3 linked regions of the Caenorhabditis elegans genome follow. The protein of the gene in region 1 interacts with the protein of each later gene in a pairwise test. Each region holds a gene or a part of one and is shown on either strand. Other genes may lie near its edges.

Region 1 (3,756 bases):
GCGTCAGTAGGAGCAACAAGTTTCACACCAATGCCGCCATGAAAATCAATAACATTCTCATTTCCTCACTATTCTATCTATTTCCTCCATTAAATTTGAAAAAACAAACACTCAGAATATGTGATAAACGATGAAGAGAGTAGTCCGTCACCGGTTTTTCTACCGCCATATGTCCCCTCCTTATTCTCTCCTTTCTCTCTACCCCTTTCGTGTCATTGCACTAGATGACAAAGGAAAATGTGACTGCTTGGCGCAATGGTAGCGCGTTCGACTCCAGATCGAAAGGTTGGGCGTTCGATCCGCTCAGTGGTCAAAGTTTTTTTTTTTTTTCTAAATTTGAGTAAAAACTTAAAGTTATCAATATTATTTATTAAAAAAGTATAAAGAAGTATTGTCTTGTATATACACATAACTGGTGTCACAATTATACATTGGATGACTACATTCTCTTGCAACATTGTCCATTTCCACACGGAGAATAGTTTTGCTGGCAAGAGCAGGAGTTGACTGATTGAGTGAGGCATGGCATCTGGACTAGTTGAGCAGTAGAGCACGATTGATAGCATGATTGGGTGCATGCTGGAGCACATTGCTGCATTGGTTGTTGTTGTTGAATGCATTGTTGTTGGCATGATTGTTGGCATTGTGGAACACATTGAGCAGATTGAGAAACTGAAGGTTCTAGGATGACAGTCACAATTTGTGGAGCAACAACTGGAGATTGGCATGCTGATTGGCATTGCTGACATTGTGGAGCAGCTGGTTGCTGACATTGTGGAATACATTGTTGTTGGCACTGTTGAGTCTGTTGGCACGAAGTTTGACATTGTTGGCAAGCTGGTGCAGATGGAAGTGTGCATTGTGGAGCACACTGTTGCTGGCAAACTGGAGCATACTGCTGGCAAGTATTCTGGCACTGCTGGCACTGTGGAGCTGATGGCTGTTGGCATTGAGGAGCACACTGTTGTACGCATTGTGGAGCTGCTTGCTGACAGGTTGTCTGGCATGGTTGAGTACATTCCTGATAGCACTGTTGAACTGGAACTTGTTGTAGAAGACATTGTTGTTGACACTGTTGTTGGCATTGTGGAGCACATTGAGCAGAGATTCCCAAGTTGACATTGATGACTTGTGGAGCAACAGTTGGAGCACATTGTTGAACACATTGCTGCTGACATTGTGGTTGACATTGTTGAATTGGTTGAGCTTGAACACATTGTTGAGTGCACTTTTGTTGGCATTGTGGAACACACTGGACTGTGACTGGAGCTGGAGCAACACAGGATTGTTCACAGGCTGGCATGCAAGATGGTTGACATTGGACTGGAGCTGGAGCAGCTATTTGAGTATAACAGGAAGACGTCTGACAAGTCTGCTGGCATGAAGATTGACACTCATTCATAGATGGAGCAAATTGACATTGGTTCTGGCAAGACTGCTGACAAGCTGGAGCACATTGAGAAGTTTGCACTTGGTAAGTTACTTGCTGAACTGGTTGGGCACATGAGCAGGATGTCTGGACTGGAGCAGTGTTCTGACACGAACAACTGTACTGTTGTGGTTGAGTTGCTTGTTGGCATGAACAACTTGGTTGAACTTGTGAAGCACAACCACATGATTGACGTTTATCACGAATTGAAGATGCCTAGAAATAATATAATGTTTCAAGGTGTACATATAAATTGTTAACTAATTCTACAGATAATTCAGAAAGTAAGTGAAGCAACAGTAATACAAATCGTACCTCAACAATAAGAAGGCTAGAAACAAGAAGAACTGCTGCAATTGTAATAAAACGCATTGTCAATATGATTGAAGAGCTGCTAAGAGACAATTGATGCCCTTGTTTTAATTTTTCCGACTTTTATACCAACGTCCTACAACCCTGTTTCATTAGCCATCAAACAGTTCCGTCCCACTTATCAAACTCCATCCATCAACCGGCTTCATGCTCAGCGCAAACATAACAATGATAACATGGCAAATGAACCAAAAAACACGCTCGTCGCCTCCCAGTCTTACACACACTATTTCTTGAGGGCACGGCAAGTTGCAAAGATCAAAAAGAGGTTGGGTGCGCGTTTGCACTGATACAGTGTTTTTTTTTTGGATTGCGCCGAGTTTCCGCTTAACTATGTGTACCAAAAAATTTCGTTTACATTTTCAGAAAAGTAATGAAAGGGTTACCTGTTGAACTTTAGAGTTCGGATTTCGACAAAACGATTTTAAATTGTTTATTGCCTTTTGACGCCACTCATTATTAGAAACACCTTTTTGTTTGCTCTCACAATAGCCATTCGAAATTACAAGACTTGAACTCTTGGACTATTTTTTCCGGCACTATTTTTTTACATTGCTATAATCGTACGCAAGCAGTGTTTGAGGGGGTATATAAAGCCTTGATATCTGTGGAAATCATCAAGCCCTGCTTCTTCAACCATTATCATGCGTTTCATCGTATTTGTAGCTCTCTTTGCTTCCAGCTGTCTGCTTATCGAGGTTTGATAAAGTTTCATTGTACTTTCACTTTTAGAATGGCACGACATTTCTAAACTTTTTCAGTTAGTATTTCGGTTTATTAATAATTAAAAATATTATATTAACTACAACAATTTTCCATCACTTGATGAAAAATTCATCATGTACAGTTTTTTCAAAATGTTCTTGATAATACGGTCTAGTTTTCTAAGTGCCCACATCTTACAAATATTTGTTGGACGTAATCGATGTTAGCAACAAAATGCTTGTTTTCCAAGTTCACAGAAGTTTTTTCCAGGCAACATCAATTCGTGATAAACGTCAATCATGTGGTTGTGCTTCACAAGTTCAACCAAGTTGTTCATGCCAACAAGCAACTCAACCACAACAGTACAGTTGTTCGTGTCAGAACACTGCTCCAGTCCAGACATCCTGCTCATGTGCCCAACCAGTTCAGCAAGTAACTTACCAAGTGCAAACTTCTCAATGTGCTCCAGCTTGTCAGCAGTCTTGCCAGAACCAATGTCAATTTGCTCCATCTATGAATGAGTGTCAATCTTCATGCCAGCAGACTTGTCAGACGTCTTCCTGTTATACTCAAATAGCTGCTCCAGCTCCAGTCCAATGTCAACCATCTTGCATGCCAGCCTGTGAACAATCCTGTGTTGCTCCAGCTCCAGTCACAGTCCAGTGTGTTCCACAATGCCAACAAAAGTGCACTCAACAATGTGTTCAAGCTCAACCAATTCAACAATGTCAACCACAATGTCAGCAGCAATGTGTTCAACAATGTGCTCCAACTGTTGCTCCACAAGTCATCAATGTCAACTTGGGAATCTCTGCTCAATGTGCTCCACAATGCCAACAACAGTGTCAACAACAATGTCTTCTACAACAAGTTCCAGTTCAACAGTGCTATCAGGAATGTACTCAACCATGCCAGACAACCTGTCAGCAAGCAGCTCCACAATGCGTACAACAGTGTGCTCCTCAATGCCAACAGCCATCAGCTCCACAGTGCCAGCAGTGCCAGAATACTTGCCAGCAGTATGCTCCAGTTTGCCAGCAACAGTGTGCTCCACAATGCACACTTCCATCTGCACCAGCTTGCCAACAATGTCAAACTTCGTGCCAACAGACTCAACAGTGCCAACAACAATGTATTCCACAATGTCAGCAACCAGCTGCTCCACAATGTCAGCAATGCCAATCAGCATGCCAATCTCCAGTTGTTGCTCCACAAATTGTGACTGTCATCCTAGAACCTTCAGTGTCTCA
Region 2 (3,756 bases), on another chromosome or scaffold:
CCAATCGCTTGAGTTTATGGTCTGCAGAGAGTAACGGAGCAGGGCGAAGTTTCTGACGAACGATTACACCAGATCGTTTGATGACATTGAGGATGGTCCTTTTTGAAGCAGACAATTGAAGCTCATTGCGAATATCTCTTGCCGTCTTACAGGAGTTGGAGGCAGCACGAATCACATTTCGTTCGTCACGCACGGAGAGAGCTTTGCGACGAGGAGCTCTTTTAGATGTACCGTAGCTCACCGGATCCTTCAGATACTCGCGAATACAGTGTCGAGAACGGGAAATTTTCCTACTCATTTCATGCAGGGACACATTGAGCAATTTCATAACATCCAGCTGAGCGCGTTCAGTGTCCGAAAGGGCAGATCCTCGAGGCATTGCAAGTTAGACTGCTTTCGAAGTAAGCTTTCCAGCCTCTATATGTGTGCCACAACACATGCCACAATTCCACATTTAATAATTCACGCAAAAAATAGTAAATAACATCTGTGAGGGACAATTTAACTTGAAATATTGGTCCCATGGAACCTTGTAATCAAAGAAAAACGATTTGATTCCTGATAAGCCTTCCATTGTTTCCTGCTGCATATTTTGCCAAATCAGCTTGACTACACAGTCGAAACATCTAAAGTGCGTGCTAGGAATTTTAGTAGGAACTTGTTAAAGAGAGTTTATCAAGTTTTTGCATTACCGAGAGCACCAGGAAGCTTGAAACAGACTTGAACATCAAAGATCGGAAGAATCAGAACCAGTCTGGAGATCCCACGAGAACATTTCGTATTAATTTTTAAAGTCAAAACTGCTTATCTGAACTCATTTCTAACTCAAACTTGATTTGAGCTTTGTCAAAAATTCCAAAATCTGTTGATTTTAGTAAAAATCGTGAAAAAAAACGGGGGGTCCTATAGAAGTTTCACACTGGATTTTGACGTTTTTTCCAGCGCGACCTCAGTTTTTGAGATAAACTTCTGGAAAAAAATGTATATAGGTTTTTTTCAATTTAAAAACGAACGGCATTAGCAGTTTTTCGAAAAAATTTTCGGAAGTTCCTCAAACCTTCAAATTAGGGGGGGTCCTATAGAACTTTCCCACACTGTATATTGCAAGATTTCCTATAATTATCTACATACTGACAAGTGCGAGAACCTTTTCTTGGCTCCAAAACGAAAAATCTATGAACAATATGTGGAAATTTTGTGGTAATTGTGACAGCAAATGTTTTTTAATGAAATTTAAAAAAAATTTCAATATTTTCCAACTTATCAAATTATATTACCCATATGCCAAAAATAGATGCCTGGTCTCGACACGACAAATGCTTGCTGGATTCAAAAGAATATGCGCCTTTAAGGGGTACTGTAATTTCAGACTTTCGTTGCAGAAAATTACAGTACTCCTGAAAGGCACATATTCTTTATCACTATTAAAAAATTAGTCGTCTCAACTTTTCCGATAAAGCTGCCGTAGGAATTTACATTTTCGTGTCTGCCTCTAGCCTTACTGCCTACATACCTGCCTACCGCCTATTTTTGCGAATTTTGCCGTTCGCTCGCAGATCCTGCTTTCAGGTTAATTAAATTTATCTCAAAATTATAATTTCGAAAAGTGGTTTTTTTTTTCATTTAAAAATACATCGAAATTATTTTTAGAATTAATTATTTCTCTAAAAATCTCACAAACATCTGAAAATCAGCATAAAGTTTAAAAAAAAACTTACCAATATTCTCATTTATTCCATTTGAATTTCCAGATGTCCCACATATATTAGGCTTCCGTGGTGGCGTTGGAGGTGGTAGCCTTACCATTATTCTCAATGTTGGAGCAACTATCTATCTGGGTGGAAAAGTGAATCCAAAGGGGGTCTTGAAGGGTTTATTTGCCTCCAACTTTTCTCCATATTTACTCAACTCAATTGTGCTGCTGCCTTCTTCGAAGTTTACAATCAAACATCCTTTAGCACTGTATTTTTTGTAGTCCACAATTGTATAAAAGCTACCAATTTATTACTAGTGAAGTATCTAATGATGATGCAAAAGAAAGATGAAAAACAAGAACCGAGTCAAATATACACAGAACACACGGACGGGGTGGGGGGAATAAGAATTATTGAATAAAATTTCGCAGTATTCGATGTGTGTATGTTTGGATCTTCTCATCCTCTGTCTGATCCGTTTCAAGTGGAAAATTTTGAAAAAAAAACCAAGTGTTTTGATACCCATTTTGTGTGCAATTTTGTTGTGGCTAGAATCATAATGGTTTCGATTTGAAGTGTACAAGAATCTGAAAATTGAAAAATCTATTGCTGAATAAAAACAACTATTTATTTGTTAGCTTTTTAATCGAAACTCAATTTTAAAGCAAAAATTAATATTTCTGGTTTTTTTTCGAAAGCTTTTTTCAAAAGAAAATAAATTCATAACTTTTTCGTTTTCAATTAATTAAAAAGTTTTTTTGAAGTAAATTTAATTTATTTTTCCTAATAAATAAAAACTCACTGTGAAATATAAATTAAAATTTACAGAAGACGAATAGTCTCCTGGACGATTTGATTTTCCATCATTTCATTTTGAACCTCAACAGGATCCGGTTGGCGTCGTCGCTGACGTGAATAAACCACAAAAACGAAGTAAAGAAATACAATAATGAAGATCGAAAAGCCGACTCGATCAAATACATCTGGAAAGTAGTACAGAAATATGCTCACTGCGACCATTTGACCTGTAATAAATATTGCGTTTTGACGTGTTTTTTTTTGAAAATTAGAATCACCTCCAAAAATCCAAAATAATGTTGAAGTTTGCAAATGAGTTTCCTGATCATCATCATCTTGTTCCAACAATCCATTATCAACAAGTAAATTGCATACCCATTGGCTAATCGTCAGAAGTGTGGCTGGCCGAAGTAGATCTCGAATTCGATCAGGACGGAAAAATGCCAATCCAATTCCAGAAAGAATTGGAACCATTGTTGATAAAAGTAAATAGATCTGTCCAACATTTCTGTCCTGCGCAGCTCTTCTTCTTGCTGTTGTAACATTCTCATCAACTACTGGAACACTTTCCGACGGCATTGGAGTTGTGTCACGTGGAGCTCTGACGGATCTTCGAGGTCTTCGTCGAAAACCATTATTGACAATTGGAGGAAGAGTTGCTATTCCTGGTCGTGTATATGGTGTTGTACTAATATGACAATGAACTATACTTCCTGGTTGAAGACCATATTCTTCTAGCGTTCGATGATCTTCTCTGAGAAGTTGGCCTGAAAAATTCAGTTAAAAATTATTTAGGCTTGAAGAAAAGACTTTTAATTTTTTCAAATAGTTTTTTTTAATATTCATTTTTCCATTTGATTTTCAGGATTATGAGCCAGTGGTATTAAATTTTGGGAATTCTATAAAACTTTCAACTGTGGCACGTTTTCACAATTTTTCCAATCTATCAAATTATCAACAAAATAAATTGCGGTCGATAGGTACATTTTTGTGTCTTTCAACGAATACTTTAGATATAGGCCAATAAAATTGTGTTCTATATTTTCAGAAATTTTATGGAATTCGCAAAAAATAATCGTTAGATCTTTGTTTTCACTTATTTTTTATCATTTTTGAAATATTTTTTAAAAAGCTTTTTTGCCAAATGCCAAACATTTGTTTTCATTAATTTTTTTAAACTTTAAAATACATTACTAACTGTTTTTACTTTACATAAAAAATTAAAGATACCTTGATAAATGAGCCGTATGACCTGATTCGCAAG
Region 3 (3,756 bases), about 11 Mb from region 1:
ATTTACCCACGCGGGAGGACTATATTGCATGTCCTAAAGGCTCAGTCATCAACGGATTCCAACTCAAACTTGAAACGAAACGAGGCGTTTTGAGCCTAGATCATGGTGTCACTGAACTGATTTTTTTCTGCAATCCACCGGACGGAAGTAACTATTCTAATTGGTAAACTAGCTAATTCAATTTCTAATTCAGATACCCTAAGCATCGATAACAAAATTGTCATTTACAATGATTCGCCATATGGATACTGGAGATCGATTCAATGGTGTCCCAAAGGATCTGTTATCATTGGAATCACAGAAAAAATCGATTCCGAAAAATTTGACAACGCCGGTATTACCAACTTTGGTGCTAGGTGCGGACGCCCAGAAGACAGAACTGAACAACCATCTTTTCTCTTTGGTATGGTGGAATATAACATGTGTGTTTTTTAATTTAATTTGTAGCCAAGCTCTACACTCATGGTAAATGGACCCTCCCGGAAAGCTGGTGTGATGTTGGATCGGCCTTGGCCAGTTTTAACCCAAGATTTACCAGAAGACGAGGGCTCGAAAGCGCTAGTTATGGATGCCGCAAAGTCTAGAATAATAGCAGTGGAATGAAATTTTAAAAATGCAACTAATTGAACTACGTCTTTATTTCAAGTTCACGTGTATAATAAATCTTTTTCATTTATTTACGTTAAAAAAACGTTTTTTTTTGTTAATTACAATTATGAGAGCATTAGAGAAATTGCCATAGCAGCAAATTTTTCAAAACATAAATCTAATTTGATTTTGAATTTTGGTGGTGTATGTTTCGTTTTTTCATGGAAAATTTTGTATAACTTAAGCCGAAGCTGCCGATCAATCATGTATTTCCAATTTGAGCTCATATCTGAAGAACCGTTGGGCTTTTGCTATAACATTTTGCAGGAAATTTTACACTCTTGAAATGACACAGATCAAGAAACACGATCAATATTTTTGAAAAAAAAAACTTCGGAGGTTTTAGTTCAGTTTTTTGTCAAGTACTACATAAATTTCCGAGTATCCATGGGAATAGTATCCTTAAAAGTGGGGCATAATAAAACATTTCAAAAAAGAGTTTTCAAAACTCAATCGAAATTTGGTAATTTGCCGAATCCTCCAAACATTTATAATTTTTAAAGAACTTTTATAATTTCTGCATGTTCAGAATGTTCAAATCTAGAATGTTCAAATAGCAACACTTTGAACGCAGCGCAATTGAAGTATGAAAAAGTCGTAAGAAAAAATATATGACTTCCAAAATTATGATAACCAAGTTTTCACTACTGTTTGACGGTACAATAAATTTCAAAAAAAAAATTGGAAGTCATTTTTAGAAGTCAAAACCACAGCACTCACAAACACAATAACTCCAAACATTTGCATAAAAACGTACCTCTTAATAATCTATGTATTTCAGACAGCGAAGATGTACATTTCTCAAGTGCACTTGTCATGGTTTTGTGCAACTGTTGATGATGTTGCTGTTGTTGATGAAGATGGTAGGGCTGGTGAGGAGGAAGTTGAGATAAGGACGGTGATGCGGTGATGGATGAAGTGGTAGTGGGGGTGGAAGCAGAGTGCGATCGGTGATGCAATGGAAGAGGACGAGAGGCTCCTCCAGCAGTGGTGGTCAGGTGGTGATGGAGGAACCAAGGAGGAGATGAACACCGTTGGCTTGATGATACTTTAAACTCCATTTTGCTCACACACACACAATGTTTCCTGCAAAGAGAGATTGATTGAGTATTTCTTGACTTGAGAACTTGGAAATTTGATGGATTGGAGAGAGTTCAAAATTTAAAGGTTTATATACTTTTATATTCTAGAAAAAAAACAACGATTTTTGAAAAACAATCAACTTCCCTGTCAATCACTGTGCAAAATGTGTCCTGGTTTTTAAAGTCTTTTACTGGATTGTTTTTGATATGTTTTTTGACGCAAAGTTCCAGGTTAGAGTTTTAAAACTACAAGTTACTGGTTTTGCGGTTTCTTTTTTTGAATTTTCAGTCACCAGAGGTTTGGAAAAGGCCTACCACACGCGCCGCATAAAATTAAAAATATATGTACTTTAGACTTGGTCCAAAAAAACTGATCACAAGACCATAGTATACTCAAAAAATTTAATTGGGCGGCGAGGTTCTCACGAGTTCTCGAATGACAAATCCCGACTTTTGAGCAGATACAAAATAGCAGAGAAACAGCTTAATTGTGATTTATGGAATTTGAGTTTTTAGTTTTGCAAAGAGTTTCGGGCCTAACAAAGCTCAGATTTTTTCTGATAAAAACTGGAAGGGAAAGTTTCGCGATTTGAGACCTCTTACATGAACGGGAACGATGAACCGGTTGATCTTTTTCAGGCATTTTTGTGCAATAGGAGGCATTTTGTGTAGGCAGAAAAATGGATGCCTGCCTGCCTGCTTGCCAACAAGGCTGCCTACACGCATGACGCTTTGAGCTACGAGTGCCAAGGGCTTTTAATATACATGAATGAGAGCACGAATTCGCTTAATTTATGTTTAGAAAGATAACTAATTTTTGTTAAAGTTGGGATTATATGTAAACCATAAAGCCTGCCTGCCTACAAGGCTGGCTACGTCTGCCTACACACGTAGCACAGTTTGAGTTATACACTAACGACCGAAAACTATATAGGTAAAAAGATATAAGTGTCCAGAGGCAAATGGAAGGCATATTAGAGGCGCCCAGGCGGAACGTCAAGGTACCAAGCATAGGCTTGAAGGTAGGCAGGCCTTTTTGTGGTAGGCTTATTTCAAACCTCTAGGAAAAGAAAATGTAGCCTAATATTTTTTCACTTTTAAAACTCATAAATCCTCTACTCAATTAGTACATTTGCTTTCTGCCGACAACTAATTTTCAAAAAAAGATGAGATAAAGATGAAAAAACCAAAAACACTGAGCTTCATCTTCTTCTCTTCCTCTATTTTTTACCCAAAACTACAAAATCTTCATCTCCGCCCATATCATCATTATCCACCCTCACTTTTTGATGTTCTGTGTAAAATCAGCTGTGTGTCGAAAGAAACGAAGAAGACAAAAAATGGAGAGAAATTTATGCGGCTGTTGTGTTTTTGTGTGTGCTGCCACAAATTTTCTCCGTGTTTTTTTTCGTACAATGCTCTTTTAGTACGTTGTCATCCTGATGGAATTTCGGAACGCGGCGAGAGCAGCTGCTCCGGCTTGCCCGGCGATGACCAATATCCGAATGGCTCGCAAGAACTCATTATTCTCGTTTTCTTCTGCTAAAGATTTCGAATAAATTGCACAATACCCTGAGCATTGCACAATTTTACACCTCTTCGCTTGATGGCTCAATTTTGTTTGGGGATATGGAGATAAATTACCTGGATTGAGCTAAGGAAGAGCGAAGAGTTTTGGGGTCCCGTTTGGATTTTAAATAAGCTATAAACTTTTGAAGACGGCGTTTTTATTGATTTATGCCCGCTTTTGTAGAAGTTCACATTGTTCAAAAAAAAAGCCAAAAACCTTAAAATTTGAAGCGACATGGTGCAAACGAGATGAGAATATTTTTCAAGTATTTTTACAAGCACCGCTCTTCAACTGTTCAGTTTTTTTCAAAAAAGAGCCAATGTCTGAAGAAACTCGTCACAGACCCAGCCATTTTCAAACTCAAATAACTCAACGGAGAAAGGAGATATCAAAAAATTGACAACTACAAAAATCTTTCCCGTGTAATTTTGCACATTTCGTCAATTGGAAATTTTG

The links.
Region 2: the proteins of pqn-90 (region 1) and B0303.7 interact in a two-hybrid assay, tested with the Caenorhabditis elegans proteins (one large-scale study listed by BioGRID).
Region 3: the proteins of pqn-90 (region 1) and F19C7.8 interact in a two-hybrid assay, tested with the Caenorhabditis elegans proteins (one large-scale study listed by BioGRID).

What each region holds. Positions count from the first base shown.
Region 1 is NC_003282.8:15,289,462-15,293,217, forward strand, and holds pqn-90 (Prion-like-(Q/N-rich)-domain-bearing protein), read right to left. Parts: upstream 1,802-3,756; coding exon 1,745-1,801; intron 1,728-1,744; exon of another isoform or gene 1,706-1,727; intron 1,676-1,705; exon of another isoform or gene 1,646-1,675; coding exon 440-1,645; downstream 1-439. Other genes in the region: pqn-91 (Prion-like-(Q/N-rich)-domain-bearing protein), read left to right, coding at 2,446-2,499, 2,777-3,756.
Region 2 is NC_003281.10:8,691,705-8,695,460, reverse strand, and holds the start of B0303.7 (SH3 domain-containing protein), read right to left. Parts: upstream 1,840-3,756; 5' UTR 1,807-1,839; coding exon 1,719-1,806; intron 1-1,718. Other genes in the region: B0303.4 (transmembrane and ubiquitin-like domain-containing family 1 protein), read right to left, coding at 2,517-2,719, 2,771-3,259, 3,723-3,756.
Region 3 is NC_003282.8:4,636,387-4,640,142, forward strand, and holds the start of F19C7.8 (SH3 domain-containing protein), read right to left. Parts: upstream 1,710-3,756; coding exon 1,406-1,709; intron 585-1,405; coding exon of another isoform or gene 448-584; intron 404-447; coding exon of another isoform or gene 194-403; intron 148-193; coding exon of another isoform or gene 1-147. Other genes in the region: R105.5 (Vitelline membrane outer layer protein 1), read left to right, coding at 1-147, 194-403, 448-584.